Linked DNA regions of Canis lupus familiaris. The protein of the gene in region 2 purifies or fractionates together with the protein of the main gene of each other region. This does not show direct contact. Links are inferred from orthologs where the notes say so. Each region holds a gene or a part of one and is shown on either strand. Other genes may lie near its edges.

Evidence for each region.
Region 1: the proteins of NUP133 (region 2) and SEH1L purify together in Homo sapiens (affinity purification with mass spectrometry; 4 studies listed by BioGRID and IntAct, with this or other methods). This does not show direct contact. The link is inferred for Canis lupus familiaris from reciprocal best matches to the Homo sapiens genes NUP133 and SEH1L.
Region 3: the proteins of NUP133 (region 2) and AHCTF1 purify together in Homo sapiens (affinity purification with western blotting; 3 studies listed by BioGRID, with this or other methods). This does not show direct contact. The link is inferred for Canis lupus familiaris from reciprocal best matches to the Homo sapiens genes NUP133 and AHCTF1.

The regions. Positions count from the first base shown.
Region 1 is NC_049228.1:78,453,329-78,456,983, forward strand, and holds part of SEH1L (nucleoporin SEH1), read left to right. Parts: intron 1-3,499; coding exon 3,500-3,655. UniProt on the Homo sapiens protein: Component of the Nup107-160 subcomplex of the nuclear pore complex (NPC). The Nup107-160 subcomplex is required for the assembly of a functional NPC.
Region 2 is NC_049225.1:10,159,269-10,162,923, forward strand, and holds part of NUP133 (nuclear pore complex protein Nup133), read left to right. Parts: intron 1-547; coding exon 548-655; intron 656-2,236; coding exon 2,237-2,371; intron 2,372-3,344; coding exon 3,345-3,515; intron 3,516-3,655. UniProt on the Homo sapiens protein: Involved in poly(A)+ RNA transport. Involved in nephrogenesis.
Region 3 is NC_049228.1:37,519,113-37,522,767, reverse strand, and holds part of AHCTF1 (protein ELYS), read left to right. Parts: intron 1-1,610; coding exon 1,611-1,788; intron 1,789-3,334; coding exon 3,335-3,538; intron 3,539-3,655. UniProt on the Homo sapiens protein: Required for the assembly of a functional nuclear pore complex (NPC) on the surface of chromosomes as nuclei form at the end of mitosis. May initiate NPC assembly by binding to chromatin and recruiting the Nup107-160 subcomplex of the NPC.

The DNA.
Region 1 (3,655 bases), on a different chromosome or scaffold from region 2:
TGAGTTTTGAGAGCTTCTCAGGTTTCTGAAGTGCAGGCAGTCTTACAGAATTGAACCCTTTACTGGTGGAATCTGATGTTATTTCTGGGTAAATAGTGTCAGAATTGAGTTGAATTCTTGGACAGCCTGCTATTCGAGAATTATTTGTTGGGGGGGGATATGCCCTCTCCTTCATCCCCTGAATTGGTATTGGGACCAGAATCCTTTACTTTTTTAGGGAAATGTCTGTTCAAATCCTTTGCCTATTTTAAAAATTTGGGTGGGTTCTTTTTTTTTTTTTTTTTTTTTTTACTGTTGAATTGTAGTTCTTTATATTCTGGATATTAGTACTTTCTCAGGTATATGATTTGCAAATATTTTCTCCCATTCTCTCTTGACTGTGTCCTTTGATGCACAAAATTTAAAAATTGTCATGAAGTCCAATTTATTTTTTTCTTGTTTCCTGTGTTTTTGGTGTCATATTCAAGAAATCATGGCCAAATCCAATGTCATAAAGACTTCCCCCAAAGTTTTATATTGAGAACTAAAATTTTAGTTCTTACTTTAAGGTCTTTTGTTCATTTTTACTTAACTTTTGTATATGGTGTAAGTTAAATGTGCAACTTTTTTTTTTTAATTTTTATTTATTTATGATAGTCACATACAGAGAGAGAGAGAGAGAGAGGCAGAGACACAGGCAGAGGGAGAAGCAGGCTCCATGCACCAGGAGCCTGACGTGGGATTCGATCCCGGGTCTCCAGGATCGCGCCCTGGGCCAAAGGCAGGCGCCAAACCGCTGCGCCACCCAGGGATCCCAAATGTGCAACTTTTTTTAAAGTATTCTCTACCCGCCAAGTGGGCCGAAACTCATGACCTTGAGATCGAGTCACAGTCTACCAATTGAGCGAGCCAGGAGCCTCCAACTTTATTCTTTTGTATGTTAATACCTAGTTTTCCCATTATCTTTTATTGGAATGACTGCTGTAGGTAGAGATTGCTTTTAGACCATAGGCTTGAGCAATGGAATGTAAAGCAAGGCAAAAGGGCCCACTTAAAATCCCTTGCTGAATACAAACAGGCCCAGAGAGGCCACTTACCTGAAAATATCCACAGGCCCTAACTAACCAATGGGCTACTTAAAACCAAGTCAGTTACCCAACAAAGAAGGATTCCAAATGTCTCCAAACCTCCTTCGCCTTCCTTAAATGCAGCTCCCACCCACTGCAGCTGAGCAGGCAACCTCTACTTTGCTATCCTGCCCCCCACATCTACCTCCTTTGTTCCGGCTCTGGTGAATCCTTTTACTGCCTGTGCCTTAGACTGCCACCCAGTCGGTTTACCCCACGTTTGGGGGCTCCCACCCAATTGGGAGAGATGCCACCGGTTCCCCTTTGAATGGTCTTGGCATCATCATTGAAAATCAATTGACCATATATAGAGAGAAGGTTTATTTCTGGACTATATTCTCTTCCATTGGTCTATGTCTCTTAATGCCGTTATCATACTCTTTTTAATTAGGTTTATAGTTTGCATGCTGTTCACAGTTTTACAAAGTTTTTTAAAGATTCATTTTAGTAATCTCTACACCAAACTTGGGGCTTGAAGTCATGGCCCCTGAGATCAAGAGTCCACAGCCACATGCCCCTACAATTTTTTATTATTGGGTGGGATTGGTCTCATTGCCTTCTCTCACACCTCCCTAAGGCAAACAGCTGCTTGAGGGGAGGGGAGAAGAGAAACGGATGTATTGGAGGGATTTTTCTTTTAAAGGTTTTATTTACTCATGAGAGATAGAGGCAGAGACCTAGGCCGAGGGAGAAGCAGGCTCCCTGCGGGGAGCCCAATGTAGAAGTCTGTACCAGAACCCCAGGATCACACCCTGAGCCAAAGGCAGACACTCAACCACTGAGCCACCCAGGTGTCCCTGAAGGGATTTTTCTAATAGAGGTGAGTCAGTTAGTATACTGTAGGTTGGGTTGAGGAGTAGTGGCATATAAAGGCTTTTTATTTGAACTTAAACGTTAAAGATTTCCCCCATTATATAAAACAGCATTCTTAGGACAACTTGCATAAGCTGAAATGGCATAAAGTAGAGAATCAGTTATCACTAACTTAACGGAAATATTTTTGAGTATTCCCGAGCCAAAAAATAACCTCTTTTAGGCTTTTCTGATGCCTTAGGACCCACTTTGCTAATGTTTGCACTACATAAATCAAGATAAAGCATAGATGCTCAAAGACTCCGTTCAAAGTTATTGAGGCTTGATGCTGAGATGCTGTGTGTTCCCATGGAAGGAGCTAGGCAGGGCCAGCATTGCATATAAGGGTGTGTGCTGCCTCTATAATGACTTGGAAAACGAATAATGCATGCTATTTTCATTTGTTACAAAAGCAAAAATCCTCTTCAGATTTCTTTTGGTTAGGAAAGGTACTAAAGTAGGTTTTTTTGTAAAATGCAAAGTGGTATAACATACACCTTTGAAAGCCGGAGGATATCTGCATATTTATTTGTATTTAGTTAAATCAACTGTCATTAATACATTTAATAGTTCAGCTATTGTATTGATCTTGATTATTCATTGGTGTTTATAGGCAAAAGTTTGCAAGGATGTGATCTTTGGAGTTTATGTGATATTCTTTTAGTATTGAGACTCCTTCAAATGTTATTTTAGTATCTATAGACAGTAAAATGTTGATTTCTATGTTTTGTTGGTATTTTCTGTCAGAAGTCTAGATGCCAGAAAGTGGCTTGTAGATGCTCTGTTGGCTTTCTGTAACTATCACAATGCCAGCTTCGTGCCATTCTCTTGGTCTCCAATAAACACCTTTTCTTGTGAGTTAGATGGTAGGGATCTAAGTAGGGCTAACTAGCATTTATGCTTGAAGGAACAAGTTACATGCTTTCCATTTTACTGCTAAAGAATCTTAATTCCTTTAATTTACTGCTTGCAACATACTTTGTAAGACAAAAACCACTTAAGTGAAAATTTGAACATTTTTCTAGTTTAGTGACTGGTCAGCTCAAGGGAGAGTACTTACTCTTAATCAAGTTACACTTCTTTTTTTTTATTTTTTTTTATTTTTTATTTTTTTATTATTTATTTATGATAGTCACACAGAGAGAGAGAGAGAGAGAGGCAGAGACATAGGCAGAGGGAGAAGCAGGCTCCATGTACCGGGAGCCCGATGTGGGATTCGATCCCGGGTCTCAGGATCGCGCCCTGGGTCAAAGGCAGGCGCTAAACCGCAGCGCCACCCAGGGATCCCCAATCAAGTTACACTTCTAAGGCCAACTTTTTTTCTACCTTAAAAGGAATAATTTGTTTATAGGTCACTAATTTGTTACGGATTGCGACTTGTGTATGTGGTATTTTGCTGTGGAGGAAATTGAGACCTAGGTGGTTTTTAAATAACTTATTCAAGGTTATATACCAAGTAAAATAGCAGTGTAATTCCAGTGTTCTTCCCACTGTATCGTCCTTTCTTTTTGTATATAAATCATCTTTTTCCGCCCCCCCAGGTTAAAAGGACAACTCTAGTGGATAGCAGAACATCTGTTACCGATGTGAAATTTGCTCCTAAGCATATGGGTCTTATGTTAGCAACCTGTTCAGCAGATGGTATTGTAAGAATATATGAAGCGCCAGATGTTATGAATCTCAGCCAGTGGTCTCTG
Region 2 (3,655 bases):
CTGGGGACTCCTGCTTACCTAAACTCTTGATGTCTGTGACCTCTGTACTGCTACTACATAGAAAATAATATTTGTGAGCATAGGAAAGGGAGACAGATGTTCTGGGTGCTGTGATGAGTTAGCAGAAGGAACCTGATACCTGGCTGAGGCTAAGAAATATTTTCTAGACAACTTGGTATAATTAATTGCTCTGTGGTAATGCTGATGTTAGTTGTCAAACAAATCAAGACTAGCCTAGGAAAATTCCATACGTATTTTTCTTAACCAATAGACTTTATTTAGTCCAGAAAAACATTGGAGTAGTTGATATTCAGGGACTAGTCTAGCTTTTAAGTTTTCCTAATCCTATATCTGTTAAAAAACTTTGTTTTGAAATTACCGAAAGCCTGATCAAAAAGATGTGAGAAGAAAGAATATTTGTAGAATGGTATTTCCAGCAGTGAGTCAGAATCTAAAACATGCAAGGAAAAAAAATAGTGAAGTCAGGTGCATATTTTAAAAAATTCGATTGATGTGAAAGATTTTTTTGTTTGGGTTTCTTCTTTAGTTATCTGTTTGCAAAGAACTTCAACTGCCACCTAGTGACTTCGACTGGAGTGCTGACTTGGTGGCTCTCTCTTACTCTGATAACTCAGGTGAAACACAATCTACTCAGGTAGGTGACTTAAATGCTTATTGATACGCATTTTTTTTAAATAAAGAAGTTCTACTATTAGAGGAATCATCCAACCTGATTTAGAGACATAATGATAAAGCCACAGGAATCAAGACTTGTATTGGCAAAGGGACATATAAGGGCATTTGAACAGAATAGAGACTACAGATACAGAGTGGCCCTTTGATCTTTGACAGCTGCAACAATTATTCAATGGAGTAAGGATGGTCTTTTCAGTAAATGGTGTTGGGACCATTGGGCATCCTTATGCAAAGAAAAAGAGAGAAAGGAAGAACTACTCCCTAAATCTCCTACTTTATATAAAGATTAACTCAAAATGGATCATAGGTTTAGATGTAAAACATAAAACTATAAAAACTTTTAGAAGAAAACAGGAAAAAAAATCATCATAATCTGGGGTTAGACAAAGAGTTCTTGGAAATCACCGAAAGCATGATTCATTTTAAAAAATGGATAAATTGGACCTCATCAAAATTTAAAAATTGGCTCTGTCAAACACAGTGACAAGAAAAAGAGACAAGCTACAGCCTGGAGGAGAATATTCTTAAGTCCTATGGCCATCAAAGGACTTGTATCTCAAATGCAAAATGAACTCTCAAGGCTTATTAAGAAAACAACTGAATTTAAAAACAGGGCATAGGACTTGAACAGACACCAAGGGTGTCACAGAGGTGTTCATGTCATTAGCTATTAGGGAAATGTAAATTGAAACAATAGTGAGATATCATAATACATCTCTTAAAATGGCTAAAATACAAAATACTGACACTACGAAGTATTCCCAAGGATATGGGGCAACTGGAATTCATACATTCCTGATGAGAATGCAAAATGGTATAGCTACTGGATTTTCACACTTGCTGTTATGACCCAGCAATTCCCTTCCTGGCTGTTTACCTTATAGAAGTTAAAACTTATATTTACACAAAAAACAGTGTATGAATGTCATGGCAGCTTTTTATTTGTGATAGCCAAAGGTGGAAACAACCCAAGTGTCCTTTAACAAGTGAATGAATAAACAAACAGGGTTCATCCATAGAATGGAATTCTACTCAGCAGTGAAAAGGAATGAACTCTTGATAACAGTAACAATCTGGATGGATCTCAAGACATGCTGAAGTAAGATAAGCTGGTGCTTAAAGGTTACATTCTATATGATTTCATTTGCTTGACATTCTCAGAAAGATGGAACACTAATGATGGAAACAGTGGTTGTCAGGGTTAGGATGAGGGAAAGATGTGATTATTAAGAGAGAGCACCAGGAAGTTTGGGGTGTTGACAGAATTGTGCTGTGTCCCTATATTGGTGGTAGTTACGTGGGTCTGTACATGTGTTAAAATTTGTAGAACTAAAAAAAAAAAATTTTTTTTGTAGAACTGCACAACAAAAGAAAGTAAATTTTATAGTCTGATAATTTTTAAAATATAAAAAGGAGGGGTTTTGTCCCCCCTAATTTTTGTTAAATAGTAAATTGCCCTGGTTTCTTTTTATTGGTGTCACCAGACTCCTAGTTTCAGGGTCTTTTTTATTGTGATTACTGACTGTTATATTGTTTCAAGGCTGTTGCTGTCATGGTTGCCACCAGAGAAGGAGCCATCCGCTATTGGCCAAGCCTTGCCGGTGAAGATATCTACACAGAGACCTTCGTAGATTTGGGAGGTGATAAGACTTACAGTTTCCTAACAGCAGTGCAGGTATACAATGAGTATTCTTTTATATTTATTGGAAAGCTGTGTTTTGGCTTGGGAGTGAGATGTAAACGACTAAAAATTGTTTTGAATAGACCGTACAGGCCAGAGGGGGATCAAAAAGAGGTGAGAAGAATGAAAGGGTCTAGGATTTCAATAGGTGGACAAAAGAAAGCCCTTCTCCTAGGACTCTGAAATACCAATATTGGATCATGGCCAGTGGTATTCATTTCTTTCAGAAATTTTCAGACAGTGACTTAGGAACCCTTAAATGGTATGAAGAATAGTTTACTAATGTCCACTCTGCAAGTTTGCCAACAATAAAGTGTGATACTCGATTTGTTGAACCTGCAGTATGGTGAACCTGTTTAAGGATCAGAATTAAGAAAACATGCAGTTGGGACTCCTGGGTGGCTCAGTGGTTGAGCATCTGTCTTTGGCTCAGGTTGTGATCCCGAAGCCCTGGGATCAAGTAGCAAATCAGGCTCCCCATGGGGAGTCTGCTTCTCCTTCTGCCTGTCTCTGCCTCTCTATGTCTCATGGATAAATCTTTTTTTAAAAAAAGAAAAATATGTGATTAAAAAAACAATTATAACTGAAGTTTTTCTTTTTCTTTTTTTATTTTAAAGATTTTATTTATTCATTCTCGAGAGACATAGAGAGGCAGAGGGAGAAGCAGGCTCAGGCAGGAAGCCCCATGCGGGACTTGATTCCAGGTCTTCAGGATCACACTCTGCGCTGAAGGCAGACACAACTGCTGAGCCATCCAGACATCCCTGAAGTTTTTCTGTGTAGAGTTAATATCATGTGAGTGGATTCATAATTAAATCATTTTAGTAAAATGACACTTAAAATTCTTTTTAGATTTGTTTTAAGGTATAGATGATAGATGATTTGTTTCTATGATCAAAGCATTTTGTGTTAATGTTCTTTATCTCAGTTGTAGATGCATAACTGCTTTCACAATATTTGTTCATAGGGAGGAAGTTTTATTTTGTCCTCATTGGGAAGCCAGCTGGTTCGGCTGATACCTGATAGTTTAGGAAAGATTCATCAACATATCCTACCTCAAGGACAAGGCATGCTTTCAGGAATTGGTCGGAAGGTTTCTTCTCTTTTGGGAATTTTATCTCCAAGTAGTGATCTCATCGTAAGTTGATAAAAATAATTTTGTTTTACAAGCTTGTTTCTTAGTGAAATCAGTAAGTTGGAAGTTTCCTATGATGTTGATATTGCCTCCGTATGAACACTAGTGTATATGAAATAGAATCTTTGATTTTTTTCAGGGAA
Region 3 (3,655 bases), on a different chromosome or scaffold from region 2:
TTGCATTAGTGGGTAATAAATAAACTTAATGGATTGTGACTAGAATCTTTAGCAGAGGTGATATCAGTGGGCACTGCACATAGTAAGGCTACATGCTGTTTTGTGCAATTTATGTTTTGTGTACATGTATGATCTGAAATGGATTACTAATGTGTGTCATGCTCAAAGATTTGTGGAAATCCTAAAACCTAATGCATGCATGCAATGATAATTGTTTTAGTGTAATTTAAATATATTAAGTCTCATTAGTAGAAGGATTTTGTTTTAACTCAGTAGGTACCTTTGCTGGACGGGCCCTGCTTTTGAAAAGCAATCGTTATAAATGAACACTTTGGAGATAAATATTAGCACAGTGCAAGGCACTTAACAAAATACCTACATGGGCTAATTCAGTATAAAAGTGAGCAGATGGTTTATAAATACAAATGAGATAGAGAAGGAAAAGAATTAGAACCAACAATAGAGAGAAATGTCTAATGGCCCGATTGGGTTTTTTTTTTTTAAGATTTTATTTATTCATGAGAGAGACAGAGAGAGAGGCAGAGACACAGGCAGAGGGAGAAGCAGGCTCCATGCAGGGAACCTGACATGGGACTCGATCCCGGGTCTCCAGGATCACGCCTTGGGCTGAAGGCCCTAAAGCGCTAAGCCACCAGGGCTGCCCCCAATTGGATATTTTTGATTTGGTGGAAGTCTCAAAGCTGTGCCTAGTATAGAATAACAAGCAGTTAAGGATTAAGGAAATGGTTTCTGTAAATATTTCCCACTGGGAACAGGTTGGGTCTTAAAGCACACATCTGTGATCTGCGTTCATCTGCTATCCCAGGTGTGAAATCTTATTTGAATGTAGAGGACAAAAGGACAAGAAAGGCACAGCAGTGGGGACCAGAACAGGCTGTACCTTTCTGGTATTCTCACCTGGGCCAGAGAGTCATTTTGAGGAAGTAAAAATATATTGTTTTTATTATAGAGAATGTAACCATAAAATAGACTATTTATTAGGAAATTGGGAAAGGAGTGACCTATGCAAATGATCCATCAAAAATTATAACCTGAAAATTTCACCTTTGAATTTAAATTCCTTATCTGTTAAGTTTTTAAACTATTGGGACTATGCATGCTTAATATAATTTATCAATGAGATTAGTTTCATCATTTGTATAAACTACATCTAGGACATTACAGAAAACCATTCAGAATGTGTAGGCTCCATTTTGTCATTGACCTCATTAGTTTCAAAAACTTCTGTGTGTTGGAGTTCAGTCTTCTATTTCAATAGAAACCATAAAGGTAAAGCAAACCACATTCATTATGTACTTCACATGTAGATAAAAGGAATTTTTACATGTTCGTAAAAATGAGCTATAGCAAATGACTTTATCAGTGAATATTGGTAGAAGGGAAGGTGGAGGACTACAGCATTTGTTGTTGCCTAGAATTCCTAATTTTCATTAATATCCTTGACTGAATTTACAATTTCATGTGGTTACCATATTTACCAGCGGATATAGAAGTCAAATTACATGGCATAATGAGTTTTTTGTTTTTTTTTTTTTTACCATGCCTCAGTAAATTAGTTACCCAGATCTCTCTTTGTCCTGTGATTACAGACCACTGGATTTGGTCGTTCATCCTGTGCACCAGCCTTGTCAGCGTTTGGGATTTATTCAGCAAACGCCCAAAAGATCTCCTTTATACCTAGCATCCAGTTCATTGTTCAAAGGATCACCTCACAGTCCCTCCAGTACGCTAGAATTACGTGTACTTGAAACTCCTTTTGTAGTGAAGGTGAGTATTTCATACCTTGCATTCATAGTGAAGCTAGGGGATTGAAAAGTCAAGCAGCAAGGCAAAATAAGCTAGCTCTAACTAATGTCTCTGGGGAGTTGACAGCTTTAGGCCTTCTTTGGAGGTGTTACCTTTCCAAAATATTGATTGTATTTTTACATCTTCTTAAGTAGGACTTTATTACTAAGTTTACCTGTAGTGCTAACCTGAGGTTGTACTCAAGGTTAACAATTATCTTGTGTTCTGAGAGTAACCCAGATCTCTGGTTATTACTGGTTGAAACCTTAAATTAAAACCTCTGAAAAAAGCATTCACGTTCTTGAGTTGCTCCACCACCATCACACACGCACCACCACCACCACCAATTTCTTCTCCCATGCTGCTGTTTCTTCCTTCTTATGTCAGATGCTTTTAGTTCTCAGATTTCTTTTTATTTATTCTCTCCTTTGATGAAACTGCACTGTTACTCCTTCTTCCTAGCAGTTTATCTGTCTTAAATTCCTTTTCCTTCACCATCTCTGATAAACTATTAAATGGGAAACCACAAAACTAGACTTGTGGTGGCAGGGAGTGGGCACCTTTTCCCCATCCTGTTGTCAGAATGGTTTCAATCTGTTGTGTGCTGGCAACTTATCCAGTGTTCTGGATGGAGTTCTGGAAGCACTCCACCTTCATTTCTTTCCATTGTTTCTGGATAGTCAGTGTGGAGACTGAAGCCAGGGGATTCTTACTTTTCAAAGTGATTAAAAGATAGTTCAACAAATGTCAGTCCTAAAATAATTACTAAAAGAAGGTTGAGGAGCTTATTAAAATACCTGATATTTACTCTCCAGGGCTGTGATTCCTGTTTTCATCCTTTTAAAAAAATCACATTTTATATTCTCTAAATCAAGGAGTAATTTTGTGCCTGCCACCAGAAACAATCTAGAAAAAACATGAGTATAATATTGAAATGTATCTAGTGGGTTACAGCCATCTGCTTTAGGGGAGAAGTGAAGTGAAGGAATGGTTGCTGCTGAACAGTGTCTATGCTGATTATTTTTATTAATTGATAAATCCTCAGGATTCTCATAAGTAATCAGTTATTGTTGGATTCCTGTGATGAGATGATATTTTTTATGACATTCTTAAAGTCAGGCTCATCATTTTGTATTAACTTGCTCTAATTAAGCTCAATTCTTTTCTATACGCACTGTCCTATCTCTTCACCTGACTTAAGTTTTATAGGCATCCACTCAATAATTTCTCTCTGTACTCTCTTTTTCCTCTTAAGTTGAACTTAAACTGAGAATAAGCAAGACCTTTATTTATTTTTTTTTTAAGCAAGACCTTTAGAATGGACATAGTTTTAGGTTTTGTAACCTTAGGTATAGAAATGTCTGAGTAGAATTTTGTATTTTCTTTCCAGTAATTGGTAATGAAACTTTATGTTGGTATGTTTATTGGAGATGAGTATACAGGTAGCCTTGTGACTCAGTTTACTCCATCTATCCTCACGTAAGCGGTGTTTACAAACACTGGTGGTGGCCTTCATTATTTGTTGCAGAGAGCTAAGACTTTGGCCATGTCGGTTACTTCCTCTGGATTTGCCGAGTTCACTCCTCAGTCCATCTTAAGGTCTGGTCTCCGAACACCGCCTTTACCATCTCCCTCTCTGTCACCTGGAAGGTCTGTCACCCCTCCATTACGGCTTAAGGAAACTAGAATTTCATTCATGGAAGAAGACATGGCCTCCAAACAGACTGCTGGAGTAAGTTTGATAATAGTTGAAACAAATGAAGACTGTATTAGTTTTTACAAGTAAAAGGTAAGATAAATAAATCTTTTTTTGAGAGGAGGATGAGCAGGAAGAGGGGCAGAAGGAGAA